Linked DNA regions of Oryza sativa Japonica Group. The protein of the gene in region 2 binds, or shares a complex with, the protein of the main gene of each other region. Links are inferred from orthologs where the notes say so. Each region holds a gene or a part of one and is shown on either strand. Other genes may lie near its edges.

What was found.
Region 1: mediator of RNA polymerase II transcription subunit 13 (region 2) and mediator of RNA polymerase II transcription subunit 27 share a complex: the UniProt entries of both Arabidopsis thaliana proteins name them as parts of the mediator complex. The link is inferred for Oryza sativa Japonica Group from reciprocal best matches to the Arabidopsis thaliana genes GCT and AT3G09180.
Region 3: mediator of RNA polymerase II transcription subunit 13 (region 2) and mediator of RNA polymerase II transcription subunit 25 share a complex: the UniProt entries of both Arabidopsis thaliana proteins name them as parts of the mediator complex. The link is inferred for Oryza sativa Japonica Group from reciprocal best matches to the Arabidopsis thaliana genes GCT and PFT1.
Region 4: mediator of RNA polymerase II transcription subunit 13 (region 2) and mediator of RNA polymerase II transcription subunit 30 share a complex: the UniProt entries of both Arabidopsis thaliana proteins name them as parts of the mediator complex. The link is inferred for Oryza sativa Japonica Group from reciprocal best matches to the Arabidopsis thaliana genes GCT and AT5G63480.
Region 5: mediator of RNA polymerase II transcription subunit 13 (region 2) and mediator of RNA polymerase II transcription subunit 17 share a complex: the UniProt entries of both Arabidopsis thaliana proteins name them as parts of the mediator complex. The link is inferred for Oryza sativa Japonica Group from reciprocal best matches to the Arabidopsis thaliana genes GCT and AT5G20170.
Region 6: mediator of RNA polymerase II transcription subunit 13 (region 2) and mediator of RNA polymerase II transcription subunit 16 share a complex: the UniProt entries of both Arabidopsis thaliana proteins name them as parts of the mediator complex. The link is inferred for Oryza sativa Japonica Group from reciprocal best matches to the Arabidopsis thaliana genes GCT and SFR6.
Region 7: mediator of RNA polymerase II transcription subunit 13 (region 2) and mediator of RNA polymerase II transcription subunit 32 share a complex: the UniProt entries of both Arabidopsis thaliana proteins name them as parts of the mediator complex. The link is inferred for Oryza sativa Japonica Group from reciprocal best matches to the Arabidopsis thaliana genes GCT and MED32.

What each region holds. Positions count from the first base shown.
Region 1 is NC_089035.1:8,936,335-8,941,275, reverse strand, and holds the start of mediator of RNA polymerase II transcription subunit 27, read right to left. Parts: upstream 3,325-4,941; 5' UTR 3,300-3,324; coding exon 2,971-3,299; intron 1,198-2,970; coding exon 1,036-1,197; intron 245-1,035; coding exon 1-244. Other genes in the region: pentatricopeptide repeat-containing protein At5g57250, mitochondrial, read left to right, coding at 3,517-4,941. UniProt on the Arabidopsis thaliana protein: Component of the Mediator complex, a coactivator involved in the regulated transcription of nearly all RNA polymerase II-dependent genes.
Region 2 is NC_089039.1:22,054,032-22,058,122, reverse strand, and holds the end of mediator of RNA polymerase II transcription subunit 13, read left to right. Parts: intron 1-417; coding exon 418-1,474; intron 1,475-1,557; coding exon 1,558-1,935; intron 1,936-2,463; coding exon 2,464-3,080; 3' UTR 3,081-3,469; downstream 3,470-4,091. UniProt on the Arabidopsis thaliana protein: Component of the Mediator complex, a coactivator involved in the regulated transcription of nearly all RNA polymerase II-dependent genes.
Region 3 is NC_089043.1:12,248,519-12,252,735, reverse strand, and holds part of mediator of RNA polymerase II transcription subunit 25, read right to left. Parts: intron 3,311-4,217; coding exon 3,101-3,310; intron 2,995-3,100; coding exon 2,929-2,994; intron 2,018-2,928; coding exon 1,810-2,017; intron 616-1,809; coding exon 560-615; intron 480-559; coding exon 1-479. UniProt on the Arabidopsis thaliana protein: Component of the Mediator complex, a coactivator involved in the regulated transcription of nearly all RNA polymerase II-dependent genes.
Region 4 is NC_089038.1:19,468,891-19,473,656, forward strand, and holds mediator of RNA polymerase II transcription subunit 30, read right to left. Parts: upstream 3,224-4,766; 5' UTR 3,154-3,223; coding exon 2,737-3,153; intron 2,308-2,736; coding exon 2,230-2,307; intron 554-2,229; coding exon 455-553; 3' UTR 84-454; downstream 1-83. UniProt on the Arabidopsis thaliana protein: Component of the Mediator complex, a coactivator involved in the regulated transcription of nearly all RNA polymerase II-dependent genes.
Region 5 is NC_089046.1:28,095,636-28,100,488, reverse strand, and holds the start of mediator of RNA polymerase II transcription subunit 17, read right to left. Parts: upstream 3,264-4,853; 5' UTR 3,058-3,263; coding exon 2,969-3,057; intron 2,882-2,968; coding exon 2,683-2,881; intron 2,587-2,682; coding exon 2,473-2,586; intron 2,310-2,472; coding exon 2,224-2,309; intron 2,138-2,223; coding exon 1,759-2,137; intron 1,561-1,758; coding exon 1,099-1,560; intron 1,023-1,098; coding exon 702-1,022; intron 65-701; coding exon 1-64. Other genes in the region: PWWP domain-containing protein 1, read right to left, coding at 4,847-4,853. UniProt on the Arabidopsis thaliana protein: Component of the Mediator complex, a coactivator involved in the regulated transcription of nearly all RNA polymerase II-dependent genes.
Region 6 is NC_089044.1:19,706,893-19,711,681, forward strand, and holds the start of mediator of RNA polymerase II transcription subunit 16, read left to right. Parts: upstream 1-1,593; 5' UTR 1,594-1,851; coding exon 1,852-2,276; intron 2,277-2,962; coding exon 2,963-3,031; intron 3,032-3,213; coding exon 3,214-3,302; intron 3,303-3,472; coding exon 3,473-3,585; intron 3,586-3,769; coding exon 3,770-3,871; intron 3,872-4,322; coding exon 4,323-4,410; intron 4,411-4,508; coding exon 4,509-4,789. UniProt on the Arabidopsis thaliana protein: Component of the Mediator complex, a coactivator involved in the regulated transcription of nearly all RNA polymerase II-dependent genes.
Region 7 is NC_089044.1:22,150,621-22,153,802, forward strand, and holds mediator of RNA polymerase II transcription subunit 32, read left to right. Parts: upstream 1-1,643; 5' UTR 1,644-1,733; coding exon 1,734-2,216; 3' UTR 2,217-2,369; downstream 2,370-3,182. Other genes in the region: U-box domain-containing protein 70-like, read right to left, coding at 208-281, 492-654. UniProt on the Arabidopsis thaliana protein: Component of the Mediator complex, a coactivator involved in the regulated transcription of nearly all RNA polymerase II-dependent genes.

The DNA.
Region 1 (4,941 bases), on a different chromosome or scaffold from region 2:
TAATGATGCAGCTCTTTTTGACCAATCCAGACGCCGGTATGTGAATATTTTCATGTTAGGAACTTCATTTTCTAGATTCTTTAGTATCTCAGATAAAGTTCTTTCTTCAAGCTCCCCATTGCTAGCAGGCAGCCTTGGCTTTTTAGCGAGACCAGGTTCACCATCATGCAGATGGTTAAACCCTTCATCATCTAGATGAGGAAAGAACCTTCTTTTCTGGTCAGTGAAGGCCTTGAGAGCTAACCTGGAAACATCTATATGTTAGCATAAACCTGAAATTGATATACCTCTGAACATTATAAACACATGATAAATGGATAATAAAAATTCCATATGTCCTTGCCTGTTCACAAGCCAAATAATTTGTGCATTAAGCAGCGGCATACATTTTAAATTTTAAATTTAAAAAAGGTGAGGCCAGGCCACTAGGTACAATCGCATGTGGCTGATAGCTGTTAAGTTTAGTATAGTAACCCATTTTTGTAAATAGTAATAAACTTCGGGTATCTTGTCATGGGGACTAGGGGATGATCCGAAGGCTTGAAGCCTTCAACATAAGTACATACATCTAAAGAAGCACATGAATGAAGGGCGTTGGAATATTTCCGATGCATTCTGTGTAAAATCAAAATAAAATATGGATGCAACGAAAACAAGAACTGATCTAATACTTCAATTCCTACAAAAGCACTCCACACCTTGGAAGAATGTAATTATCATAGTAGAAGGATTAGAGAAAGCAAAGTGCAAAAGAAGAAACAAAAGAGGGAAAAAGGAGAAATAAGGGAAAAAGGGGAAAGAGGGAAACAACAGTACAAATTTAAAGGGGAAAGAGGGAAACAACAGTACAAATTTATCGGCCAAGAAAATTATCGTATATCGCAGGAAGAAATAACATGGTATAAATATTTAATCTGCATTCTGCAATGCACGGTTGATGAAATCTCACACATCAACAGAATATAAATAAGACAAATAAGCACATCATATTGTGGCAGCAAACATACAACACAACAATGATGGTAATGAAATTACCTAGTTCTGTCAACAGCTGATGCACCAGCCTGACCAGCCAGCTGACGCTTCCAAGCATATGCCACAACTGCACCATCTGGACAAACAAGTGGCATGTGCAAGCCCCATGAATTGCCTCTGGCTTTAAGGGCTCCATTTAGAACTCCAGACTCTTCCAATTGCCTTCCTAACAGCAATGGATACAAGATATTTATTAGGCTACAGTTTAAAAACTAGATCTTTACTTTCAGTTGGCTAGGCCAACACTTATGAAGAAATAGTGGAACTTGAAACTTGAAGTTCAATAAAAATAATTGGAACTTACCAGGAGAACTGTGTAAGCAATGATTGATGGTTCATCACAAAGTAAAAACATCATGAATAGCAACAAGCACAACTAACCCAAACACTATAACAAGAATACTGTGAAAGAACAATAAGAAAGCACCAGCAAAATCGAGTGAATCCATCCTGTTCACATACCTAACTTTATTGAAGATGGCTCCTAATATCCTTTGACTTAAAAAAATCTCAGTCACATGGCTTAAGCTTATCTAGTACTCCTAACTTCAGGATTTTCACAAACTAACTATTCTGTCTAAAATCATAACTATATCACCTGCAAATTTCATCTTCCGTTTATCTAGCAACTTCAGGTTGCAGAAAGACTCAAAAACCATCGTTTAACAAGCAGTTCATATTGCTTGGACATTTTATTCATCAGACAGAATAGTACCATGTTGCCATGAAACATGGATTTTCCAAATGCCTGCAGACTTCTTCAACAAACGACTGGTCAAGTGGTCACATGTAAACAATTGTACCCAACACATAACTGCTCTGCTGAGACAATATTATAGAGTGAGCACCTACCCTACATCCTTACCATCCACGAGTGATACTAAAACTAGTTCGAGCCCTGAGTGGCACTAAGGTGGTGTTTGGATCCAGGGACTAAATTTTAGTCCCTGTCACATCGCATGTTTGGATACTAATTAGAAGTATTTAACGTAGACTAATAATAAAATTAATTGCATAAATGAGAGCTAATTCGCGAGACAATTTTTTTAAACCTAATTAATCCATAATTAGCACATGTGTACTGTAGCATCACATAGGCTAATCATGGATTAATTAGGCTCAATAGATTTGTCTCGCGAATTAATTCAAGGTTATGAAATGGATTTTTTCATTAATCTACGTTTAATACTTCTAATTAGTGTTAAACATCTGATGTGACCGGGACTAAAATTTTAGTCCCTGATCCAAACAGCCCCAAAACAAGTTCAAGCTGAAGCTGTTCAATTAAGGTTAAATATTGCTCTATTACAAGCCAAGGAACACGAGTTCCAGAAATGCATCCCAATCTGATAGACCCAGGCACCCAGCCAATATTCTAGAATGCTAAAGTTCATATACCAAAGTTGAGCAGTTAAGCCTGTCCGTGCATCTCTCGTAGCAAGGTTTCATAGGTAGAAGGGTTTCACAAGATACAAGCAATTGGATAACACCAAAGAAGAGTGTGGCATCAGTTTATGGTGATTAACCATTATTACAGAACAATTTAGTGGAAAAAAAATGTGCTGCCATGCCTAAACTGGGAAGGAGATTATTACTTTAAAAAAAGTCCAATCATACAATCCAAAGAAGTTAAATCAATATCCCAGCCACCAATTTCCAGAAATTATCTAGACAAGGGTTTTCCTTTTTCTTCTTGAGACTGCAACCGTGGTATCATGACGGGAATATTTCTTTTTCATTTTGAGACTGCAACCGTGGTATCATGACGGGAATGTTCCTTTTTCATTTTGAGACTGCAACCGTGGAATCATGACGGGAATGGTTCTTCTCGGAGGGAATTAGTTGTATTTTGCGACGTAACAGTCAAAGGTTAAGGAATCGATGAAAAACTTCTGAATCGGAGAGTGTGGGGGCACGGGGCGGAGATGGGTTTACCTCCCGAGCGCGCGGAGGTCGTCGAAGTGGCGGTGCATGGCGGCCTCCTCCTGGGCGACGGCGAGCGCGGTCTTCTCAACGTGCTGCGGGGCGCTGTGCGGGGGCGCGTCGCCGGCGACGAAGAGCGCCTCGAGCAGACGGTCCGCGCCCAGCCGGATGTCCGCGATGAGCCGCCCCGCCCGCCCCAGCCGCTCCATCGCCTGCGCCACCTGCTTCGGCGGCGCGTCACCCCTCGCCCCCTCGTGCTGGTGCCCCGTCGCCCCCGCCGCCGCCGCCGCCGCCGCCGCCACCGGCGCGGCCACCACCGCCGACGCCTGCGCTTGCTGCATCTTCCTCTTCTCCCCTTCTCGCTTCCGACTCGAAACGCCTCACCTAAATAAGCCCATATCCAAACAGGCCCAGAACCAATACAAGCCCATATCTATTCAGGCCCAGATCCAAACAAGCTCGTATCCAAATTCGGCCCACGCCATCGGCTTCCAACGTTTCGAACGTTTGCGCTTCGCTTCCCACGCGGCGGCGGCGCCACCACCACCACCCTCCGCCATGCCGCTCGCCGGCGGCGAGCCCCGACCACCACCGCCGCTCCCGTCGCTGGTCAAGCTCGGAAGGGCCGTCACGCCGCGCCGCGTGGACATCCTACTGGCGGCGCTCCTCCGCCGGCGGAGGCACCGCCTCGTCGGCGCGCTCGCCTCGCAGGCGGTCGCCAACTCCGTGCGCCCCACCGCGCGCACCCACCTCCTGGTCGCCTCGGCGCTTCTAGATTCTTCCCGTCCGCGCGACGCGGCAGCGCGCCTCGCGCTCGCCGGCCCGGCAACCTCCTCCGCGCGCCGCCTCTGGGACGCGCTGCTCCGCCGGGCCTGCGCGGTGCGCGGCGATGCTCGCCGCGCGCTGGAGGTGCTCTCCGCCGGCGTAGAGGAGTGCGGGCTCGTGTTTTCTCCGTCCACGTATCGTGTGGCCCTGACGATGCTGTGTGCCCGCGGTGACATGGAGACCGCGCTCAAGGTGTTCGACGTAATGGCTGCAGCGGGGTGTCAGGTGGATGATCGTGTTTGCAGCGTGATCATTTCAGGCTTCTCCAAGGTCGGGAAGGCTGGGGATGGGCTGGAATTCTATAGGAGGGTGAGGAGAGAGTTCAATGGATTTGAGCCAGGCTTGATCACATTAACCGCTTTTGTCGATGTGCTTGGCCGTGTAGGGAGAACTACTGAGGCAGCACAATTGGTAAGGGAGATGGAAGGGAAGGGGTTGGTTGGTGATGCTGTTTTATATGGCAGCTTGGTTCATGGATACATGAGTAGCGGGTTATTGATGAAAGGGCTCCGTGAGCATCGGGTGATGTTAGATAAGGGCATTGCAGCTGATGTAGTTAGTTATACTACTGTTATTGATGGACTTTGCAGAGAACGTAGTGTGGAAAAAGTGATGGGATTCTTGGATGAGATGAACCGAAGGGATGCTAAGCCGAATTTGATCACTTATACATCATTGATTGGTGGTTTCTGCAAGAGAAACAGGTTGGATGATGCTTTTTCTATAGTGAGGAAACTGGAACAGACAGGAGTGGTGGTGGATGAATATGTTTACTCAATTTTGATTGACAATTTGTGCAAAAAGGGATATTTGGATAGGGCTTTCTCTTTGCTTGAAGAGATGGATAAAAAGGGGATAAAGATTGGAATCGTAACATACAATTCAGTAATAAATGGTCTATGTAAGGTTGGTCACACCAAGAAGGCTGTTGAAATATATGAAGGTATTGCTGCTGATAACTTCACATATAGCACGCTGTTACATGGTCACATTAAGGTAGAAGATGCAACTGGTGTAATGGCAATAAAAGGTAGGCTTGAGAGCAGCGGTGTTACAATTGATGTTGTCACATGCAATGTACTTATCAAAGCATTATTTATGATTAAGAAGGTGGATGATGCCTGCAGCTTGTTTCTTAGAATGCCCGAGATGAGATTA
Region 2 (4,091 bases):
TTCTCTTTAGTCCATCTGCCCTAAGCATTGAATTTCAGAAGATTCACTTGCTTCCTTTCCTTCAATTTTTTTCATGAGAACAGTAGGGGATACGTAGAAAGCCCCAACATTAAAACTGTACAGAAGAATTTTCAAATGAAAAGCATAGATAACTGTTTGACATGTAGTTATTCAATTGTAATATAACAATTTAGTACCACCTTTATTTCGTATATAATTTGTTCTTCTAGGCTATTTTCTAGACATTGTACTTGTACTATTTTCATTCTTTGTTCTTTTCAAATTGTGCTGGAAAACACTGTTTCAACACACCATTATATAGAACACATTATTTTAACACAAATTGTTTGTTCTTTGTAAATTGTGCTGGAAAACAGGCCAACAGTAGCAATATGATAACACTTATTATCCATGCAGGTAATTTATGTAGTCTGTCCATTTCCCGAACCTTCTGCTGTCCTAGAGACACTGGTAGAATGTTCTGTTGCTCTTGGGTCGGTAATGTTATCCCCAGAGAGAGAAAGGAAATCATTCCTATATTCTCAGGTTGCCAAAGCCCTAAACTGCAATGCTTCTGTTGATGAATCATCAGCATCTAATGTTGTGATGCTCTCTGGTTTCAGTATACCTAAGCTTGTCTTGCAGATTGTTACTGTTGAAACTTTATTGAGACTCCATAAGCCAAACAATGAGCTTGCTGTTTTGAAGGACATGGCATTCACTGTGTACAACAAGGCTCGCCGAATTCCAAAGGCCATTAGCACAAGTGACATGTTTCAGTCACCTGCGTACATGGGCAGGTCTCAGTCCACCATGATGCATGCTACATCTCCTGGTCCTACCCTTTGGAAAGAATGTTTAGTTCCTCGAATGTCTGGATCAACTCTCTCTAGAGAAACAGAGTTTGATGCATCCATGAGGTCATCAGTAACATGGGACAACTCATGGCCTGGTCGTGCTGGAGGATTCATGGACCCAAATAAGATCCCAGATGTATGTGTTCAAGATGACAGGAAGTATGCCTTTGAGCCACTTTTCATACTAGCAGAGCCTGGATCTGTCGATTACAGTAGTGGAATGGAATCTTCAAAATCTGGTGTTGATGCTAGTGGCAGTGGAATTTACAGCTCAATTTCAGGTGGTGGCTCTGATAGTGGAGCAAGTGCAAGTGCTTTACTGGAAGGATCTGATAACGACAATGCTGCAAGTCTTCATTGCTGTTATGGCTGGACTGAGGACTGGCGATGGTTAGTATGTATCTGGACAGATTCTAAGGGAGAGTTGTTGGACAGTTTAATATTTCCTTTTGGTGGTATTAGTAGTCGCCAAGACACGAAAGTTCTCCAAAGCCTTTTCATCCAAATTCTGCAGCACGGTTGCCAAATAATGTCATCTGCACCTGAGTCTAGCAATACAAGACCGAGAGATGTAATAATAACCCGTATTGGAGGTTTCCTTGAACTTGAAATCCAGGGTACTTAACACTTCTACCATAAATTCTGTAGTTTTTATTTCTTGACTATATCGTGTCATTATGGTATATATTTTTTTATGCAGAATGGCAAAAAGCAATTTACTCATTTGGTGGTAATGAAGTCAAGAAGTGGCCTGTGCAATTACGCCGATCTATACCTGAGGGTATTCCATCTAATTCTAATGGGCCAGCACTCCAGCAACAAGATATGGGCTTAATGCAAGACAGAAATATGCCATCCTCACCTAGCCCTTTGTACAGCCCTCATGCAAAATCTAGCTTCATGAAAGGTGCACTTGGGCAATCAGGCAACAAAAAGCAGATCCTAGTGGAACAAGCTGGAATGGACAGTTCAAAGGGTTCATTGCATTTGGTTCGCAGCATCAGTTTGGTTGCAATTTCCCAAGATCATTCGCTGCATCTCACATGCCAAGCGGATCTGTTGACCAGACCTACTCCTGGTAAGTAGTGCTTGTAACATCCTTATATATTCATCTACAAGTTTGTGGCTGTTTAATGTAGTGCTTATTTAATGCTGCTTCTTACAACAGTAGTAGTTACTTACGTCATGACCTTATCATCTATGACTTATGATCATAGTGCTACCTCCGTTCTCAAGAGAATGACGTCCTAGAATGCATACCGTGAAACCTTGAACTCTTAAATCATCAATAGATTAAAAATGTTAAGAATTGATATGTGAAAATGATATTAGTAGATTTCTCATGAAAAACTTTCATATGGTTATATTTTTTATAAGTTATATAAATATATATTAGAAAGCAATGATAACATATGTAAATTGGAGACTGTGTCGATGTCCAAAACATGAAACAAAAGAGAAACTGGGGTAGTACCTTTTCTTTTGGTTCATCCTACTAAAAACACATATATGAGCAAAAACAACCTGAATCAAATTAGCAGCTATTTTTTGAGTTTTGTTTCCTATCAATCCCTTTCATGTTCGGTTAAAATGCTCTTTTTTACAGGTGAAGGGAATCAAACAAGCAGTGGTCCTTCTAGTTACTTGGAAGGGTTTACTCCAGTGAAGTCTATTGGGTCAATGTCAGCATCATATCTCCTAGTTCCCTCACCAAGCATGCGATACCTTTCGCCAGCAACATTACAGCTTCCAACATGCCTTACATCAGAGTCTCCACCTCTTGCACACTTACTGCACAGCAAAGGGACAGCGATTCCCCTAGCAATGGGCTATGTAGTCTCCAAAGCCGTCCCACCGGTAAGAAAGGACTCCGCACGCCTTGCCAATGAGGACAGACCCTCCGTCCTCTCGGTTAGCATCATTGATCACTATGGAGGCAGCATTGCTGCTGTTCAAGAGAAGATGAGCCGAGGTTCTGGCAAGCAGACGAGGAACTTTACTCAGGAAGCAGCAGGTCGTGATCATGAGACGGAGATGCACAACGTGTTGGAAGCAGTGGCTGCCGAGCTCCACTCCCTTTCATGGATGACAGTGAGCCCGGTGTACATGGAGAGACGAAGCGCCCTGCCGTCCCACTGTGATATGGTCCTTCGCTTGAGGAGACTTCTGCATTACGCTGATCGGCATCTCTCCCAATCGACAGAGAAAGGAGATGTAGCTTAGAGACTACTAGAGAGGACAACTAATTCTCATGTAGCTTTCACCACAGGAAAAATAAGGGCTTAGATGATGCTGAAACCGTTGTCTGTATGTATATTAGGCAGGTAGATGAGGGTCACATTGACGAGCTCTCTAGCCCGATTTTGCCTTGTTAGTGGATTGAAGAGAATGCTAATTTCTTGGGCTGAGGATGTAATTACGTGCGCATCGACACCTCTCCCAGGGCCAGGACCAAGTTGTAATATTGTAGAGCTAACTGGTTTATAATTTGGTGGTATTTGTTATTGATGGGTTGGCTTAACCATTGGTTCCAAGAAAATCAATTGGTACAGATCGATGACGCTGTATTTAAACCCTCCATATCTAATTGTAAGTTGTCTTATGCTTCTCAACCTTTTTCTAAAATGTAAGTTATTAGAGCACTTATTTTTCTCAAATGAATGCTATTTGTGATTGTGAACCATCTTTTGCAGTATAGTATAAATGAAAGATAACAAAATTGTTTGCAATATTACTTTATTAGTCCTCATGCATAAATTTAAAGTGGCTATTTAGATTTTAGAATCAGAGGGAGTAAGCAAGAAGCTTACGCTTACGCTAGAGCTGGGATAGGGCTTAGTTTGGACCAACCTTTTTTCCCCCCGATTTAATGGAAGCAGCATACACACGGACACGATGCCACGTATACATACAAATGCAAAGAAAAACAGGACACCTCTGGCTGAACCTACTATAATTTCTTCGAACAAAGGAAGAAATCGCCTCCAAGCCGCTGCTGAAAGAACAGAAGAACCGACAGCAGTATTGCTCCACATGGTATGGCAATGTCCCATGCGAGGCTGAAGAGATCATCGCGAGGGTTTTCATACCTGGAAGATGGTCTCAAGCTGGGTACAAAATGTAAAATCATGTATGGCTCTTCCAATGTAAAATCCCGGGGAAAGTACCTTCACTTTGGAATTGGAGCCTGCGCCGTTTAAAATAACCTGAGGGAGCAATTAAGAACCCGTCGAG
Region 3 (4,217 bases), on a different chromosome or scaffold from region 2:
TGTCCCAATTGCGTACTACCCATTGAACCTCCCTGTGTCACAGGAGGCCCTGATATACCGATATTGCTTTGGATGCCACCCAAAGAAGATGACACAGCAATATTTGAATTGCCTGTTATGGGTGTGTTTGATCCAAAAGCAGTGTTTTGTACGACTTGTTGACTACCAATTGACTGTCCTGTTCCAGACATAGGGATGCCAGGCATTCCACCTGATATAATGGTTGCCACTGACCGATGCTGTGATAGATTGTTGAGGATGCTGACATTTGCTGGACCACCAGGTCGAATTGACTGTTGGATAGGGTTTATTAAAGGCTTATGTTCTTGCACACTATCATTTGCAAGATTAGTTTCCTGTGAAATAAGGGACGGTGAGGGACTTTGTACTGATGATAATCCTTGTGAAACACCATTTGCAACAGGTGTTACATGCGAGAAAGCAGGTGCAGAAACCATGGGCGGTAAAGTTGTTGGCTCCTGAAAGTGATGATTGTTTTCACAATGAGAAAACATACAGCAAAATGGTAAGTCACAGAGTATGTTGTTCAAAGCTTTACCGTTTTAATATTTGCAACAACACCATTTGGTTGGCGGGTAAGCATAGGTCCATTAACTGAAAAATACTTATAACAGTTAGTCATGTTCAGTATGGAAGATAGTAATGATACGGATATAACCAGAAGCCAAAAACAAATTTCTATATAAGGCAATTCCAGATTTATCACAACTGGATCATGCAAATAAAACCAGCAATTGGCTAGACTTGAAATATGTTCCACTTTAATTAGGTAGATGGGCAATCTGGCATATATTAGTACATAGCAATGTACAATACAAACAATAAGAATTTGGCATTTCATAACATTAAACTGTAAAATTTTATTTATGAAACAAACAATGAAGGGGCTTCATCAACACTCACAAAAACAACAAATTATGTATATCCACGAATACCTTTAAAACCACATTGCTGTGTATAAAAACAGGAATTGCGATATATTTGTATCCTCAGTGTTAATTTTGATTAAGATGCTGAAAAACAAAACTTGTTATCCATATAGAATTCATCAATCCGAAGACACCATGCCATTGAAAGCATTATCACTCAGAGTCCAAACAATTAGTTGTGACCCCATGCCAATGATAACCATGAAGACACAATCATTATAGAATAATCTATGTTTTCTTGGCACTACAATTGAAAAACCACCCAGATGGGAAGGGGACAAATAGAACACAATGGTACAAGCTTTTAGGAGGCAGGTTTTCACGTTTGTGTATTCAGTACATCCATTTTTCTTCATCTCCAGCTCAAGGCATCTGTACTTGACAAATTGGAGATAAACTATAGGAAATTATATTGTAGTCCCATGTAATGTCAGATGCACAAGCACATCGTGTTCATAATAGAGGAGAGCTCACAATACATTTTATTCCTCTAAGGCTTTGAAAACTCAATGATATGCTTTTTTCGGGCCAAAAATGGATGGCATAAGGGCATTGCCAGAATCCTTCCTGCTATTAAAATAGTCAGGCGTACCAATATATGCAACGATAATTGTTAACCTATGTTGCTTCAGCCCATGGAGTAATTATGGCAATGGTTTATTTCACTTTAGCCTAACATTTTTTTCCTTAACAAAGCTGTGTCAAGCATTTGTTAAAGCAGACTCACGCTAGACTATGTGTAAGCACCTACATATTCACAAACATCGTAACAACGTCACAACCTTTCGTCCAAAAGAGGAACAGAACTAAAGGCTAAATACCATGGCAAGACTAAGCCAAATGTTAGCATTTGTTCAACCTGAGGGGTTGCCATTTGAAGTTGGTACTGGCACAGATGTTGCAGCTGTATCCATTTTTGTAATGGGGTGATTTGTGACCAAGTTGCCAGGTAAAGGGCGACTTAGAGCAGTTCGAGCCTCCAAAAAATTGTCAGACAACAAAACAAGAAAATGTGGATTTTTTGCATGATCCACTGATGGGTCAGCCGCTCGAGGATTCCTCTTTGCCTGCAACAAAACATGGACAACATCAGCACCTGGTGCAAATTATTCATCAGTACAAACTGTCGAAGGTCTTGCAGAAGATAAAATTTATATCATGTAAGTTAAAAAATGCTTGTATTAAACTAATGATAGATAAGGATGCCAATTCATAGATTTATAGTCTGTAAACCATACAAAGACTAGCTAGCAAGTTCAGGCAGGATACTAACTAATTAAAAAAATGAAATAAATGGATATTTTTCTTATCCACAAATAAGATACAATGACAGTACAATCCAAACTGAGTTCATTTTTATTTGAGTAAATTTCACTTAACCTTTAGGTGTTGTGGTCTAAGTTGCACAAAACCACATGGGTTTTGGCACGTGACACTTAACCACCAGGTATTATAGCTATAAAGTTTCACACAACCACACTATTGATCATTTATAAAATCACATCACAAATTTATGAGTTTTTTATCCATCATATAAATGTTACATGAATGTAACTAAAACTTTTAAAACTTTGATATAGGAGTATGTAAAATTGGTTAACGGTGTGGTCTTGTTAAACCTTAGGGCCATAATACATGGGGTTATGTGTCATGTGCCAAAATCCCTGTGGTTTTGTGCAACTTGGACCATAATAGGTGGTGTTTGATAAAATTTACTCTTTTTATTTCAATGGTAATGAAAATATGAAGTTTAGTACTGTGTACAAGTACAAGAACATATGTAATAGTGGAGCGGCCAGTTCTGCAAGTTCATGCTTATAATTTATTTTAAAAGATATATTCTTAAGTGAGTTTTTCAACCCTCTGTAAATCAAGATGCAACTATCATACCATCAATGAACAAGTAAAATACCAGGAGAAGATTATTAAAGATGGCTTGTGGCTTACAGAATTTAGCAAAACAAAATAACGAAATTACCGCATTGTATATTGCTTTCAGAGTTGGAAGCTGTTTAGGAGATACCACCGACAATGAAACGGAGCACTACATCAATATAAGTAAAATTAATTAGAACCAACAATGACTGCTGACCACTTCATTGAAACACAGGTAATCAGCAATATGCTAGATATCAGTATTTGTGTAGGACCTGAGCAAATGATTTTGCAACAGTCTCAGCATCAGCAAGACAAGATTCTTTTGCTCCATCATTGTTCTCCTTGTGATCGCTACTTTGAACAAGGGGGCGGTAGACAGGCGTAGGCAGTGGATAAGGATTACTTGCTGCAACAAGTATGCAATGTTTTTGTACTTCATGGCTTTGATGATTCTGACTGTTACTAGAACTGCCTTGGAGTATCTAGTTGCACACAGGAAATAAAATCATAAAGGCAATAAATACTTTAATTCATAGAGAACTCAAGAAATAAAATGATATCAAATTCAAAGACCCAAGTATTTTTCAACTAGTTATAGGCTCATGCTGTCATGCATTGCAATGGTTTTTTTTATTAAGTTTAGTGGGAGGATTTGGGCCCAGTGAGCTGTTCGGTGTTTATACAATGGTTGGCTTTATTAGTAAACAGTTTTTTTTAGGGTGGACAGTTTTTATGGAGGAAAGAGGCTTTTATGTGGAGGTGGAGGAGGACGATTCCCTCTTTATAATAGTAGGGATGAAGACTGAAATTTTGATTTTTGAAGACTCAGTACCATAGGAAAATTAACATACTAATATAGGTACATTCATAGAATTTAAACTTCTGATCATACTAGTTTCACTCTGCTTATTCTGGGTACTGGCCCAGACATCCAGTTTCCTAATAGGGTTGATCTAATGAAAATCTTCCTTACAAAAATTAACCTAATGAAATGGTGATTACAGTTATACACTCTATTTACTAAGGTAAGGCTATCTGTAGCTGATATCCAGATCAAGACATTTTTTATGAGACAATAGCTGATAAGTGGATGTGCAAACCACCTTAGAATTTTCTCACATGAATCATATGTTGTGCAGAAGGGCATTAAAGGACAGATTCTAGAGAATACTGGAAATAACAATACCAAGACAACAAGCTATAATTCTTGGAAAATAAAGTAATCCAAAAGGTTGGGTAGAACATGTATTGTTAAGTATCATGGTTCTACATAATGTCCAGGCTCAACTAATAGTTTACAGGGCTTACTATGAGAAACAAAATTGTAGATCAACTAATTTAGACAAAACTGGACCCAAATTCAGGTGCAGTGAGAGATGAAAAGAGGTA
Region 4 (4,766 bases), on a different chromosome or scaffold from region 2:
TCGAAACTTGCGCACATATGGCAGATCAATTGAAGGTGTTTGGCCAAGTTACTATTAAGCAAAGCTTTACCTCGCCAAAGAAATTAAGATTAATCATATGTATTACTATTTCCATTGCTTGTGAGGACACAAATATCATCATGCTCGACAAAGGAAAAAGTGTACAGAGGTCATGGTTGCTCAAAGAGTATACAGAAGTCTTGGAAATGAAAGCAAGGCCAAATTGGTGGGAAAATATACACCAGATGTTTGTTTCAGTTACTAGCTACTTCGTGTTTATCACTACTCATAGTACACTTTCTGAATACTTGAAAGAAAAATCATTACAATATTGTATTTGCAAACTGATTGTATCCCTTCAGATTTCTCTCTCAAGGTCAGCTGATACAATTTTGCATTAACATACTTCTAGCTATGATTTTTGGATTCCTAAAGGATAAATGCCGATGAGTTTTCACACTGAGCAAGGACTCTGCCACATTGATATGTCCGATATTAAATCATGGAGTTGGTCGATAAGGAGCTTTACATGCTTGTTTTTGCTTTCAATTTCCTGCAGTAAACATCCTGTATTAGACTGGTTTACGGTACCAGAGAACAGTATGCCACATTACTAGGTTGAAACAAAAAATGTATTATATATGTCAAAAGCGTGAGGACTCAAAACTTCCACAGACCATGATACCACGGGCATATATAGAAATCTGAACTAGGACACATGGGATCAGCTAATTGAGATTGTACTGACCAGTGTATGTTTAAAATGAAATGCTTTGAACTTTTTAGGAACAAACTATGTAATCGAGGCATTAGAGAACACTGTTTGCTACATAGTTATTAGAACTAGACCAGACCAGTGGTCCGATCAGAAAAAAAGGGAACCAGGGCGTTGGCTGGTCCAGTCCAGCTAAAAGATCGTTGAGCAAACAGACCGGCAAAAACCCATTGAACCGGGCGGTTTTCTGCAGAACCAGACAAAAACCGAAGGTGGTTCGACTGCTGGAGGGTGTCACGTGGAGTTAGAGAAAATAGGAAAAAACCTGCTGAACTGAAGATCGAACCAAGACCTCCTTGCTTCCACGGAGAGTCTCAGCCGGCTATGTCACATGTTGTTCTAGTATTCTAACACACATCTATTTGAACCGCTTTAAACCGGCGGTTTGACTGGTCCGACCAATAAACCAGTGAACCGAGTACCCTAACAGTTCGATCACCGGTCCGGTCTTAATAACTATGGTTTGCTACACTTCAAACATAGGAGTACATGAAAATCACTGATCTCAATAAATCATACAAATGGAACTGAATAAGCCACAAATCCATTTTTCTATACACATTTATACACATCAAGGAGAATAATCTGTATTTATGCTATAATGATCTAGCATAGATAAGGAGTAGTTGAGACTTACAAGGCCATTACAGCCAACAGCCCTCCAAAGGATGAAAAGGATTTGCTAAATAGTCCAGAATCCAATTAGCATCAAAGGTGGATTTGCAAAAACTTACTCCCTCTGTCCCAAAATAACAAACCTAGTAACAGACCCCTATCCAGATTCCTAGTATTAGGGTGTGTCACATTCCATACTATGTTTATTTATTTTGGGACGGAGGGAGTAAGTTCTAAACTAGCAGGCAAATCCAAGTATGCAAACAATAATGACATGCAGTATCCAGTGCAGAAAAAACAATGATAAGATAACAACTTAACAAGCATGAATATTGCCAGGAAAGATCAAGATGGAACGCTTTTTTGACGAGTTCAACAGAATGAACATGACTATCCAAAACACTACAAGCAACACAGTATCACAGCTTGCCAAACTAGATCCTGGCTATCTAAAATGGTTTCAGGTAAAAATTGGGGATTACACTCTTCTCAGGACTTTTTGAATTAAAATGATTGAAGCATAAAAGGAACATATATATATATATATATATATATATATATATATATATATATATATATATATATATATATATATATATATATATATATATATATATATATATATATATATATATATATATATATATATATATATATATATATATATATATATATACACACACACACACACACACACATTATGTTCAAAACAGGTTGTTTGGGAAATATTTGGGATTGACATGGCTAAATAAGCACCAGTTACCAACTGGTTCAGGGAAAAATTCTGAATACAGCAAAATGATATTGATTATATTGCTAGAACATTCCCAAGATAGTACCTTTCTCAAAGCAGATGCATGTTCTTCCAATCTCTCAATCTCAGCTTGATCAGCTTTGTGTTCTGTCGATCCCATCTCCTACGAAGAAAACCACAACATCATTACAAAGAAGTAAACTGTTATGAGGTTTCTCCATAGCACCATATTTTGCACATCAGGATTACACTTACTGCTAAAAATAGAATCATATAAAACTACTATTTTTGTCTCATGAACATTGAACACTAAAAGCTCATGTTGATTGAAACATATATATAGTCCACATCCATGTAGTCCGAACCTACATCACAACATCCCTTACATTCCCTTACATTGGTATCAATAATAAGAAATTTTCTTTTGCAAAAATTATTTGGCTCCCTTACCTATGTATAAGCACCTAACTTGATATCAACAAAGAGTGCAATACGTTTCACAATTTCCACTAGACGATCACTAGAAACACGCATTTCGTGGTTGCATACATACTACGGGAGCATGCAATGTCGGGTAAATTCGTGTGCTGACCTGAGCACAGGACGACACGGCGGCGATGGACGTGCGGAGCGCCGCCATGGCGACCTTGTACCGGTGCCTGGCCTCGTCGAGCGACCCGCCGGAGCCCGGCGCGCCCCCGGGCCCTCCCCCGGCGGCGTCGGCGGCGTCGGAGTCCGCGGAGTGCAGCGGCGGCGGCGGCGGAGGGAGACCGCCGTGGTGGTGGTGGTGCTGGTGGTGGTGGTGGTGGTTGTTGCCGTGGTGCTGGAGTCCGCCGGCGCCGCCCGCCGCGGCGGCGGCGGCGGAGGAGGAGGACCAGAGCGTGGGGTTGCAGAGCTCGTCGTTCATGGAGGAGAGGATCTGGAACGCGGCGGCGATGGTCTCCTCCAGGTGGCGCTGCCCCTCCGCCGCCATCTCCTGCCGCCGCCGCGCCGCCGCCGAGGAGGCCATCGCCGGAACCCTAGCCGATCTGCTCCTCCTCTCGTCGGCGCTGGCTGTGAAGTGAACTAAGCTTAGCTTCAGAGCCCAACATAGTCCAAAAGCCCAAAGGATATGTTGATTTTGGGCCGAAGCTCGAAGCCCAGGCCTGGCCTTATCAGGGCCCTAGTATTTGAGCGGAATAAGTCCAATTTGTCTCCCTCGACTATAGGTCCAATCTGATTCGTTCTCCCTTAATCGCAAACCGTGTATATCGAACCCTCGGCTATTAACACCGGTGAATAAAAAAACTCTTTTTAGTTATTTTGAGGGTGGTTTTCGTTAACGTGGCTCATTGAACTGGTCTAACCGATTAAGTCAGCATGTGGGACCCACATGTCGTCCCCTTCTCTTTCTCCTCATGCTTTTGTTTTTTCTTTTCTTCCCTCTCCTTTCTCCACGCGGTGACGAGCTCAAGCATGAATAGTGTCAGTGACTTAGACGACAAAGCCACCACCGACACAACCAACTAAGCTTGGTTCTGTTGGCAACCTTGTGGAGCAAAGGAGGGAAGGGCCACAGCGGTGATGGAGAGTCGGAGAGGCCCAGTGCTGCCGTAGATGTCCTCTTCATTGTGGGCTCCAACGGTTGCCACACCGAGGCCCCTCACTGATCTGGACAAAGCCGGGTCCCATCAGTGTTTCTCCTTCACAGATCCGAGCCTCAAGCCACTTCCCCTTCTCTCTGTCGCCTCCTCTAATCCGACGTCCTTTTCCCACCTTCACCTCTATCAACGCCTCGGTTAATAAGGCCTAGCAATGGACAAGGATGGTGATTGACCTCGCTGTCATCGAGATCTAAGAGTCCTTCTCCTTTATATGTTGTGGAGCCATACATGGCAATAGTGAGGGAGAGAGAGAGGAGGGTCACGTGCATATCTCTGCATGGCCAAGGGATAGCCACCACCCGTCGGAGGACAAGGGGTAGATGTCGACGAGCTCTTGTAGTCATCATTGCCACCGAGGGGGAGGTCATCCTCGATGGCTCGCTGGAGCACGTCGTCCATGTCGTTGACCTTAATGACAGACTCAAGCTGTAGGCAATGGCGAGCACATGCCCCCTATCCTTGGTGGGCGTGGCAACCTTGTTCCGCTACCGTTCTTGGTGAGGGCAACGAGGCAAATCCAATGAGGCAAGCGAGCTCGATCTTGATGAAGCTTCTCCAGAGATAGGAAATGTCGACATGTGTGTCCTCGATTGCTGGAGTCCAACGTCTCCCGCCCGTCTCTAGCCACCTCTTAGACGACACTTCGTTTGCTCCACCGTACCGAAGAGCGGTGGTCGGTGTCCTCTCCTGATCCCAGGAAGGGGGTGGAATGGGAATTGGGAAGAGTCACCTTCGTCAGATGCTCAGTGGCATCCCTATCGTCTTCCCTTGTTCTACCGACCGCCTTCCCAACTAGAGCTCATCACCATGTAGGGAAAGGATAGGGAAGAAAGAAGATAAAAGTAAAAGAGGGAGGAGGGGACGCTGACATCTAGGCCCCACATGCTAATTCAGTCGGTTAGATCAGGTCAACAAGCCACGCCAGCGAATATCGTCCTCAAAACACTCGAGGAAGTTGTTTTATAACAGTTTTAATAGT
Region 5 (4,853 bases), on a different chromosome or scaffold from region 2:
TAGTCACATTCATACCGAGAACCAATGCTTCTTCATGAAGCCAGTGGATTACTTGACTAGCAACCTGAACAGAAAAAACAGTGAGCACATCATTCTGACAAAATAGACTTAAAAAGCAATTGTTGTGACATGGGTAATATTCATGGGCAGCACAGTATTACTTGGAAACAAATCCTTATGATGATCCACTTGGATTAAATTAAATAGCCCATCAAGACAACCAAAGTTGAACAATGACAGGTCTATCAAAGCATAAACATCTTGCTCCCTTTCTCGCACTGTATTCAGTGCTTTCAGTTTTATATTACATGAATGGCCACTGCCTTCCAGACCTCTTATGTGGGACAATATTAACCTAAAAAAATGTGGAAGCATGGCAAGGCACTAGAATGTTTGTACTGGTGTCCTGTTCAACTCAACATGCATGCCACATTCATTTTGAACTGTTAAGCAAACTAATCCTGTAGGTCAATAGGCACAAATGAAGATTTCCTCAGGGAAAAAAACTAAGAAAAATGCATTACCATTGTGCATTTCACATTCAAATGCAAGGAGTTTATGTTACACATTTGCAATGCAAGAAATAGTCTGGCTCATTGCATTATCAATGGACCATAATGAATTCCAATGGTAATAACTTTAATAATTTCATAAACATGATCTACCAAGAAATAATTTAAATAGTATCATCAGAAGTTTACCTGCTGCAGAAGCATTGTTGGGAGGTCCTCCAAGTCACAATTGTAGCTATTTACCAAATATCCATCGGAGGGCTTCCCAGTCAATGATCCAGCAATGCTTGGGGAGCCTTCACCCATTAGACTAATTTGGCTATCTTTCACGATCACCTTAGTATTGAACTGTGACCTGGATTTGTACTTAAGTTCATGGTTATCAGAAGGCTTTGCAATCCGATCTGCAGCAAGGATAGGCTGAGGAACTTTCAAGCATAGAGACCAGGAGGAAGTTCGAGAATGCCAAGTAGGAAGAGAACGCAAATGGAGATATGGAACCCTGCTGACCTGCAATACAGAAAGGAAATTTAAATAATGATCTACATGCAAATATGTAGCATCAACAAGCTTATAGGAGCTATACCACACTCTCAAGCTCCACGAGTACTTTGTTAGAAAATATCCTGTGAGCCACTGTCAAGCAGAAATGACCTAGCAGGCCATAATCATCACCTGCAACCTGAGCAGGACTTTGGTAGCGACCAATGTTAAGGGATTTCTCCCTGACCTTCCTAAGAATGTTCTCATGAAACAATTGTAGCAAGTAAATTTCCAGACTTCTGGGATTAGGAAACCCTGTCACGTCTTTTCTTAAAGGGTCCAGCTTCCCATTCATAGTGACCAACACAAGATTTGAGGCATCCTCTGAATTGGCATGGTCTTCATGGTCTACCATTTCTGAGTCACTACCATCTCCAGAATGAGCAAGCGAGAGGCACAATGAACATTCCTGACCAATAGCTAATTGGAGAAAATCTTCACGCATTCCAGTCACATTGATGCCTTGAGATTGGACAAATGTCTCACGGATCACCATATCAAATACCTACAAAGGCATACACTAAGCTAAGCCACAGAACGATATACATAAATAAATAATGATAAACCCGGGGAGGGAGGGGTGGTGGTGGTGCAAGATGTCATCACATGATATACAATAATTTTCCATGATGCTATAGTTAAAACTTAATTAAGAGCATTCTATACAGGAATTCTTAGCATGCCAAGCAAACACTTAGCTGACCTGCTCCTCAAATATTGACTTGTGGATGTTGCGAAGAATAGAATGTGCATGTTTGATGGATTTATTGACATCATCATTGTCTGTTTCAGAGGAAGTGATGCTTGAGATGCCATCTTTCAGTTTATGACCGTAGTTTTCCACACCATTGGCACTGTCCCCTCGAAAATTAAGACTCAAGAAACGGCAAGATTTTTGAGGGACTTGTACGGACAAAGTGCCTGATGAGTCTTGGTCAATTGGAATCAATGGTAATGATGACAGTCGAGGCATTGCTGCTGTGTCCAATTGAGAAGTGTCGATCAGATCAAACATGAAGCCCTCACTTCCTGGACCACTTCCACCAAACCGTTGCCGCTTCACTTTCCAGTTCTGCTGCAATCTGCCACCAATCCGCGAGTAATTCATGGTGCAAACTTGGGTGAAGTGGTATTGAAATAACAACTCAAGTTAAGCAACAAGACATGCCTGATTAATGAGCCATAGAACCTAGACTCTTTTTGGAACTGCTGCTCCATTGTTTTGGCAGATTGTTTGAAGTAGCGTGACAAATGCTGCGAGGACACAAATGAAGATCACAACAGGAAGCATGATAGATGCAAGACGGAAGAGGAAAGTGGCAAGCGATTACAGAAACAAATTGAGTTTGTTTTAGGTTCCATTTTGTTCCTTAGCCGTGAATTGAAGTAATCAAACATAGGCAGTAGGGTGACATACCCGAACGCGCTGAAGCTTGGTGGCTGCAGAGACTGCGGTGTCAACTAAGGTTTCGGTTGGCAGCGATTTGGGCTTGAGCATCCCAGCGACTGCCACTGCATCATTGGCTTCGACCTGCATTATCAAGTAGGATTGTCTCCTCTGTCAGGAATACAAACAATCGCATGCAAATAGAATGGGGTTTGCAGTATTGTGTGTGGGAAAACTGACAGTGGAGATGAGGTCAATGACGACGGAGAGCTCCTGCTGCGCCTGCTGCAGGCTCTCCATCATGCCCTGCCACGGCCATGCCTGCTGCTGCTGCTGCTGGGCGGTGTCCTTCTTGGGCTTCTTGGCGTCCTTGTCGATGACCCAGGAGAAGTCGATGCGGCGGATGGCGGAGAGGCGCTGCTCCTCGCTGCTGGTGTCGCTGCGGAATCCGAATCTCAGTGAACGGAGAGAGGTGGGGGTTAGGGTTTCAGGGGAAGGGAAGAGGTTGGTTTGGTTTGGTGCTTACGGCGGGTAGTGCTCGTTGCCGGCCTCGTCGATGGCGTGGAGGCGCTTGATGGGGAGCTTGTCGAGGTCCACCCGCACGGCTTCCTCCATGGCGAAGGCGAGGCAGCGGCGGCGGAGGGCTTAATTAGATCGGAGACAATTTTTTGAGTGAAGGAGGCACTGCCTTGGGGCTCACGAGTCCCGCTCAAGAGCGGAAGGGATCCCCCCGCGGGAAGCAGAAGCGGCGGCCGGCGGGGTGGGGGCGGCCGCCGGCGAGGTCGTCGGGCGGCGGAGTGAGGAGGAGCGAATTCTCGATCGAGTTTGGGTGCTGGACTTTGGAGTTTCTTCTCTGGAAGAGAGTATGATGGGCCTTTTTTGACTTTGGGCCGGCCTAACAAGTAAATGTTGCTGGGCTGGCCTGGACCAGTTCCAGACTTCCACTACTCCGAATGGGCCGGAGTTTCTTTTTTTATTTTCCATTTCTCAAGGCCCCTCGGGAGCAGGAATTATCTCCTAGCAATGGTAAAACGAAGGCTTATATCAGAGAGCTTTTTCTTATCAATGCCTACAAGACAACAAGGCCTGTTCTTCTGTTGTTCGTCCATGGATCACAAGTTTCAGGGAACAAAACTCTCTTTGGTGCCGGTGGCAATGATATTCCAAACTCAACCGCAAGTTGTGATCAATCTGCAACGTATCAGGGACGACGGATATTTCACAAAATAAGTAGTAGTATGTCGATTCTTCAGTCCAGCTTCTGAATTCCAGGCCTTTTGAAGTTGAGCAAGCAAGTAAATTCAGATAATCTCTCTGCAAACCAACTATACAGTGAGTGACTGAATTTCTACTTGCGCGGATCGATGTGCCAGAGCATTGCCAATCACAGAAACAAGTTGCAGATGAGATTGTCATACTAGCTTACAATCAATGCCACCATCCGCTCAAAACTCACAGCAATCAATCACAACCTGAAGAAACAATGAGGACAAACCACTGTCCACCGGATCGAGTTGGCAAAACCTGGACGACCAAGGGGGTTCGGAGAATAAAACTCCGACCCCTATTCATGAAAAAGAAAAGCACCGCAAACAATTCGTATCATAATTCTTGCAGGTAACACCGTAACACCATAAGTTTGAGAGAAATGCGCCAAATACAACAAATTTGGCGATTTGTTTGTTTTCTCTTTTTCAAAGGTAGCATATAGATTTGCCTTGATAATAGTATCAACAGATGCAGCGCTATAACCATATATACTCCATTTCTTCTCCATTCCCTTGCTTCATTGATTTATGACATACTCAGAAAGACTAAAATAAGCATCAATTTCACACTTCACAGGCCTGTTGTTCACAACTACTGAGCTGCTGTGTTATTGTATTGCTACTAATCAATACCAGCATCTCTTTAGAAAAATCATTAGCGATACACAGCTTACATTTTATTGGATATCACTGTCATTGTATCACATCCACTCCTCCCAGATCAACATATGCAATCATCATGCCTATGCCAGTTTTTTGCATGGTAAATTCTACTACTACCAGTGGCCCAGTGCCATGTGATGTCAACCCCAACAGCTTTGTATATTATTACCCCTTATTATAAACGCATCATACTCACTATTGGGGGGAAAACATGATTTTTCATGCTGCTGCGAGAGGGCTAGAAGAAAGAAGTTGCAGTCTTAATATATCACACACGCAGCATGAGAGCAGTGACATAATAACGGCTACGGACTACCATTCACAATAGTTTCAATCGTTGCTGCCGAAATCGTCAAAACATCTAATTTATCATTAGCTCGAGATTGGCAGCTATAATTGATGACAGCGACAAACAGCATAGACAATAAGACATCTAACTACGGATGGATTAGAATAATCCATGCGGTAGGGGGCTAATGA
Region 6 (4,789 bases), on a different chromosome or scaffold from region 2:
GAGTAGATTGGTTTGGGTTTTTGAGGTCGTGAGGAAGAATACGGAATCGTGGAATTGGTTTAACTATTTTGTGACGGTTTGGGACCTTTGGGTGAATTGAGTCGGTGGCGAGGAGAGGCGGTGGGCTACGTGGGCCGTTCCATGGTGGGCTGATCACCTGCATATGGGCCGTACAAGGGCTCATGGGCCTGTTTGGCTCGTGTTTGGGCCCATCGCCTGACCTTCCCTTCTTTTGGGTTGGGTTTCTTTGGATTTATTTTTAAGATGGGCTTGTTGTTTTATCGACTTATTTGTTGCGAATAAAATCTTACCGTGCCGTATCATCAATTTCATAGGTCATGACTCTGCTGCATCTATTGGAAAAAAAACATATTTATATTGTATAAACAAAGAAAACATGCGTAGTTAGGATGGGCTATCGACGATCACGACAACAATGATAATAACCTAAATAGAGAGCTAGAGATTCTTATAAAGATTCTTATAAGACGCTTGTGATTAGTCGGCTGATGATAATCTGAAAGGGTTAAGTTTCAAGTTTCTAGCTCCAAGTTCATAATCTCAATTTTTATGTACATATATGTGCTAGCACACTACAATTTCTATATGTACATAAAAATCGAGACAATGATGTAATGAAAGTTGTGGCCTAGAGAGATATCATTTAAAGTAAAATGATGGAATAATACAATTTAATTAAAGATTCGATACATAAACAATTGATGAAATTTGTAACCGAGGGAGATAAATTTTAACTGAAATTGTCAAACTATAAATCTGACGAAAGATTCATTCAAATTCCCAAAAAGGCATACATTCACTCATTTTATCTGCCTTGGTGCCAAATTTAACGAAATTTATGTACCCAGTTTCAAATAAATAGACGACTATCCCCATTTTCTTACAAGTTACAATCCACCGCAAGACCACAACACCAAGATTACCCGCCTCCATGCCAATTTCAATGAAATTCGTGTATCCAATTTTAAATAGACAGACAACACTCTTTATTTCGTTACAAGTTAGTACATCTAGGTACTATACAAGAGTAATATTGGAGTGTGTAAAAAACTGCCGTAGATTTTTTAAGTGTAAAACTTCGAGATTAAATTATATTATAATTGAAGTATAGTTGTACTGTAACTGTATTGTAACTACGGTATAACTTATATAAAACATGTATTTAACCGTGGTTTGGCTGACTAGCACCGAGATCTTGCACATAACATGTATGATATTTTTGTAGCAATGTTATCTCTTGAATGTACAAATCTCCAGTAACCCGATGACCATAAATCTGAAAGTTTTGAGAGAAAAAGGGTGTGTTTAGTTCACGCTAAAATTAGAAGTTTGGTTGAAATTGAAACGATGTGACAGAAAAGTTAGAAGTTTGTATGTGTAGGAAAGTTTTGATGCGATGGAAAGTTAAAAATTTTTTTAAAAAAGTTTGGAACTAAACTCCACGGAACTTGCAAAAGTTTTCTAGCAATTTCGATCCAAAATTCAACGGAATTCGTACATACCCAGAGCTCACCACTCCCGAAACGCCACCAAAAGACCAAACCCACTCGTTTCCCCTCCCCCCCTCCCTCTGACTCTCTCCCCGTCGTCGTCATCGTCATCGTCGTTCGTCGTCGTCGTCTCCCCTTTCCACGGCCGCATCCCATTCCCCACCCAACCTGAAAGCGACGCCGCCGCAGCGCACACGCAGGAGGCAGCAGCAAAGCGAGGAGGGGAGGAAACCCTCCCCCCGCGACAGCAACGGGCGGTCGCTTCCAGTGACCTAAGCCTCCCCCTCCCCCCCTCGCGCGCGCTTCCCTCCCCTTCGCCTTTTTGTCTCCTCCGCCCCTTATGACCTCTTCCTCCGCCCCAAACCCTAGCCCCCTCGTCCCCACCCCCACCCCCTCTCCCCCCACCGCCAACGCCGCCGCCGCCGCCGCCGGAGCCGTGCCCGTCTCCTCGCCGACGCCGCCGCCCAAGGATCAGCAGCAGGAGGGCCAGGGGGGTGGAGGAGGAGTGGGGGATGGGGGTGGAGTGGAGGAGGTGGGCGTAGGGGGAGGCGAGGCCATGGAGGTGGATGGTGGCGCGGGAGGTGGTGGTGGGGGGGTTGGGGATGTGGAGGGGGGTGGGGGTGGTGGTGGTGCGGGGGGAGGAGGAGGTGGAGGTGGAGGTGGGCAGCAGGCGTCGCCGGCGACCGTGTTCCGGATCCGGCTCAAGCAGCCGCCCTCGAGCCTCCGCCACAAGATGCGCGTGCCCGAGCTCTGCAGGAACTTCAGGTGCGTTTCGAGATTAGTTGTGGTTTTTTTGGGGGTGTTTTTTCTTTCTGGGATTTAAATATGTTGGGGGAAGCTTAGGTGTGATGAATTTAAACCCTGATCTGTTTCAGCTTATTCATCGATTTATTGAAATGGTTTTTTTCCCCCCGAAAGAAATTTTCCTCTACTGTATTGCTTAGACCACTTGTTTTAAGCTATTTGTTAAGTTTGTCTCTCAAAATATCTAATTTATCCCTATAATATATCCATGACAATAATCCACTCAATAATCTAAATCAAACGATCTGGGTTTACTTTTTTTTTCCTCTTCAAATTTGGGTGGCGTTTCAATGATTGGGATGAACAATCTAGTGACTCAAACTTGCAGAAGCATTAGCGTGGGCATGGAATTGTGATTGCTTTGAATGATTGTATCCTGTGCAGGCTTCTACTATACTAGATCAAATACAGTTATAACATGTAGTGTCATTATTTCACATAACTAAGTTTAGTCAGGTCAAACTGGTTACTTTGTTCACCAGTTAGAAAATACCGAACGTGATAACTCCATTTTTAAAATCCACATTATTTTTTTTTGTTTAAAACTGCTTTGATCTTGTAGGATGAGGTTGCCTTGTCTGCTTTAGCCTACACTATATCGGGAACAACTAGTAACTATCTTATCTATGGTTTTTTTTTTATTGCAGTGCAGTTGCTTGGTGCGGGAAGCTCAATGCAATTGCATGCGCATCAGAGACTTGTGCACGCATACCAAGGTATACATTTTTCCATCCTTTCCCTGAAAATTTACTTTCCTCTGACCTTTAGTTATCCATAAATAAGTTTGTTCTGTTAGCTTGTCTTAGTGGGATATTCAACCATTTGGTAGAATTGTTTGCTTACAGTTTCTGGTTATGAAGGTTTCTTTGCCGTAAAACGATCTAATGTATATTTTCAGCTCTAATTCAAGCCCACCATTTTGGATTCCCATACACATTCTAAATCCAGAGAGACCAACAGAATGTTCTGTTTTCAATGTGAAAGCAGGTAATCCATGGCTAAATCTCAATTGTTTTGGTAATGTGATTACGTTATGCATGTGCAAATCACTGTCCATTGGGCATTTTATAGTCAGGTGAAGGGTGAGATTCAAACTCACTTTTGTTTATATACGAGTTTTTCTACCTCCAATCCTAACTCACTGTAATTTTGAACAGATTCTCCACGCGACTTTGTTCAATTCATTGAATGGTCTCCTCGATCATGCCCTCGTGCATTACTGGTGGCAAATTTTCATGGAAGGATTACTATATGGACACAGCCAACTAAGGTACATCTCTACCTTAAGCAAATTTCGGTATGCATATCATTTTTTTTTGTTAGTAGTACCATTGAACTTACTTTGTTAATTTGCGAAACACTCAGGATTTTCTTTTTTCATTTCAAGTCTATATACATATCATGCTGTTTTGTGTTTTTTCTCTAATACTTGTTTCTTTCTTGATATGGTGAAGGGTCCTACTAATCTTGTACGTGATGCCAGTTCCTGGCAATGTGAACACGAATGGCGTCAAGATCTTTCGGTGGTGACTAAGTGGTTGTCAGGAATTTCTCCGGTTTGTTGCCAATTTGCAAACTTACAGTCTGCTTCTCTTGTTTTTGATAATTAGCACTTTACACTTGGAATGCAAATATGCAATACGATTGACCCAGCAGTTTATACAGTCCGCTTCACAATTTAACATTCGAGATTTATATACTTTTCAGTGTCAATTGTTAATCATTATTTTTTTAAAATATAATATTTTATAAAGCAGTGACAATAGACTTGAGTTTAAACTGTTCTAAGATTTTTTCACTGGACATTTATCATAAACAATTGCAACAATTAGGTAAAAAAGATTCTGGCTCAGTTTATGTCTGAGTAAGTACTTTGATCTATTTCAAATGACACTACCTGTGTTTGATTACCCTTTTGGCCTGAAATAAGTGGATCTTAGAATCGAAGGAATATAATTACTAAGCTGTTGCCACGGCTAAATTTGTTTTGTTTCTTTGACTTTGCAGTATAGATGGCTTCCTGCAAACTCTAGTACTTCATCAAACTTGAAAACCTTTGAGGAAAAGTTCCTTACCCAGCAGCCTCAAAGTTCGGGTTGGTTAAACACATATATTACTGAGCATATATTTTTTTTGGAGGAGAAAGCAAGCATGCTTCTTTACGCTACTCTGACATATTGCTGTTTACTGCAGCTGGGTGGCCAAACATTCTATGTGTCTGTTCAGTTTTTTCATCGGGTTCTGTTCAGCTTCATTGGTCACAATGGCCTTCTCAAAACTCAGCACAACCTAGATGGTTTTCTACTAGCAAAGGGCTTTTAGGAGCAGGGCCAAGCGGCATAATGGCTGCTGATGCTATTATTACTGAAACTGGAGCATTACATGTTGCTGGTGTTCCCCTTGTTAATCCATCTACTGTAGTGGTTTGGGAGGTGATGCCAGGCCTTGGCAATGGTATTCAGGCAACTGCAAAG
Region 7 (3,182 bases), on a different chromosome or scaffold from region 2:
TATCTTCAGTTATAATATATGAACAATCAGTATTTGGACATATCAAGTAAAAAAATAACCATTTTCACTCTTGCTTGGTGTTACTTTTTTTTTCCTTATGTTCTATAATTAGTTATTTACTCATAGAAGTCTTTGTGGGGAGAGTGAATAAAAATATTTTTTACATGAACTTTTCAGAAAACAAAATAAAATATCATTATCTTGCACCTTTTTTCTTGAGCACTGGTCCAGATAGTTGTCCACATTTTGCATCCGGCTTTCTTCAGCAAAAAAGGAATCAACTAAGACAATAGAACTTTGCTAAGGATTATGCAACCGAAAACACAATAGAAACAAGAAGTAATGGTTAGAGGAAATAAACCAGAATATGGCAGAAAGCCAGAAGCTAAAGATTATGGTACAAACATCATAAGATAGCTATATGACTATATCACCTCCTTTATTGACATCGAGAAAAATAACTTTAGATAAAGCCACTGCACATAACTAACCAAAGTTCGATGTAGTAATTATGTGGATGATGATGATCTCCGTGCTACTGGATGCATGATCGATAACCCAAGACAGTATGGACTTGCCATCGGTGGGTTGCTCAGGGAGAGCAACATAAACCTTGTCTCTAAACAGAGTTTTCTGCCTGAGCATCATACTCATGCATGCAACTGGTAAGGCCTTGAAGATGGAACTAAGAGATACTTCTATCTACCAGTTTGCGTTTCCCACTTTGGACAACTAAAAGAGGGAACACACTGCGTATTAGCATTAAAGAATAAGATTCCAGTTTAACCAGGTAAAAAGGTTGACTCTTGACTGAGACTATCGGAAGACAACGCAACACTCAACTACCAAGTCGCAGTGAATGGATTATCTGAGGAAAGTCATTTGGTACGCTGTCATGCCATGCCAGTACAACACGGCAAAATTTGCTGGGAACAGGGACATGTTATGAATTAATGTAAGACTCTACCTTTCTCACATCCTTCACCCCCATTGCTCACCACAAATTCCCTGCCTTTCATTTCTAATAAAAAAAAGATGTAGTGCATCGATTGTGTGCCAGTGATAGAGCCATCAGTCTATCTGGTGATCTAATCTAAAGATCTCGGCCTCATATTTCAGTTACTCCATATGAACGGGAGAAACAACCTACGGGTAGTGACGATTCAGCAATAATAGCATATGAAATTTGAGGCGAACAAAATTGACAACAAGCAAACATCTCATCATCACCAGTACTGCATATGAAATTAAATCATCGTGGTACAGTCAAATCACCTTTGACGATTGACTAGAAATGGCGAACACCGAATAAATACATCGCGGCGGCGGCGGAATCGCGCAGGGAGACGGCAACATCGGCGCGCGGCGAGGCGGGAGTTGGGGGAAGCCGTCGCCGGCTCACAGGATCCCACCGGGGTCGCCCGCCTCGCCGTCGGCGAGGGGGAAGCCACCGCCGCTCCGGCGAGCGGCGAGGCCCATATTTATCCCTCGAGAAAAACCCTCGCCTCGCGTCCCAGCCCAAGTTTTAACGTGCGGCCCAGTAAGAAGATACAGCACGAGACGGCCCATTTTAAAGTGGGCCGCGAATCTGCGGCCCACGAGGAATTTTTTTTTTTTTGACGCTACTGGTTTGGGAGTTTGACACTGTGACGAGTAGAGGTCAAGTTGGTGGGGAATCTAGGCGGCGGAGGCGGTGGAGCGTGTCGGGGAGAAGCCGCCGGCGGCGAGGGGAGATGGAGGCGACGGTGGACGAGCTGAGCGAGGCGTACCAGGAGTTCGTGGCGGCGGCGGCGGCGGTGGTGGAGGCGCGGGGGCAGTCGGGGGGAGAGAAGAACGCGGCCACGGACGCGGCGCTCGAGGCGTTCAAGCAGCGGTGGGAGCTCTTCCGCGTCGCCTGCGACCACGCGGAGGAGCTCGTCGAGTCGATCCGCCAGCGAATCGGTTCCGAGTGCCTCGTCGACGAGGCCACCGGCGCCTCCTCCTCCTCCTCCGCGGCGCTGGCCGCCCCCGGCATCAAGCCCATCAGCGCCGTCCGCCTCGAGCAGATGAGCAAGGCCGTCCGCTGGCTCGTCATCGAGCTCCAGCACGGCGCCGGAGGTGCCTCCGCCGCGGGTCCCGGCGGCGGGGGCGGCGCCGCGGCTGCGGCTTCCGGCGTTGCGGGGCAGCACGGCCACGGCGGGGTCGACACGCGCTTCCCCGAGGACGGCGCCCAGTAGGTATTTATTTTGCTCAATTATCTTGTACTAGTAGTATTTTCTTCCAAAGAAAACAAATTACTGGTGGTATCTCTGTGTAATCGTCTAAGAATTGAAGCATTAGAGCTTGTGATCGATATTCTAAAAAAAATTGAGCTTGTGATTTTCTCAGCATTGTTACTTTATGCCTACTGATGTTAAAATTTGGGAGAAATTAACCGTTTTCTTAGTGTCGTGGCCAGATCACGCTTAGTAACTGATTTAATTTTGTCCTATTGCTTTTGTTAAGTGACTAATTGTGTAACGGACTTCCTTCCAGTAGGTTTTAGTTCTGATTTGTAGCTCGCTCACATAATGTTCGTGCATCGTACTAAGGTAAGGTAGTAAACCTGAGGTCCCAGGAAAAAATGAACAATTTCATATATACTACTCAACTAGCATATAACTGTATAAGTTCCTTCAACTTTCAAGTACCTACTCTGGATGTTTTGCTAATCTTGCGTCCGCCACAATGTGAATGCTTTTCCTTCTGATTTTTTAATGAACAACATTTTATTGAAGAATAACTAAGCAGCCACAAAAGGCACAATTTGTGATAATAAACTCTGGGAGATTGCTCATGGTTTGTGAAACCCAGTTATACTGGAAAGTGATATTGGTTATTAGCTACTAGTTTCCTCATATAATTCTCTATCGTACATTTTTGCGCCTTTAGAATTAGCTGCCAATTTTGGCCAAACAATTCAATGTTTGTAGCATATGCTCTTCTTTTATTGTCGATATCATAGTAGTAATTCACTGCTCTATACCAAAATTGCTCTGAGCACTCATACTCTATCACAAGCATTAGCAGCAAAGTTTCCTCAAATGGAATATGAAGAGATGTAAGGAGATAACAAGAAATTTTGGAAATGATCAACTGAAGCTGCTGCATTAATTCACCTCAATCTGTGAGAAAATGGTGTTTCCTTATGCATGATTTTGTAA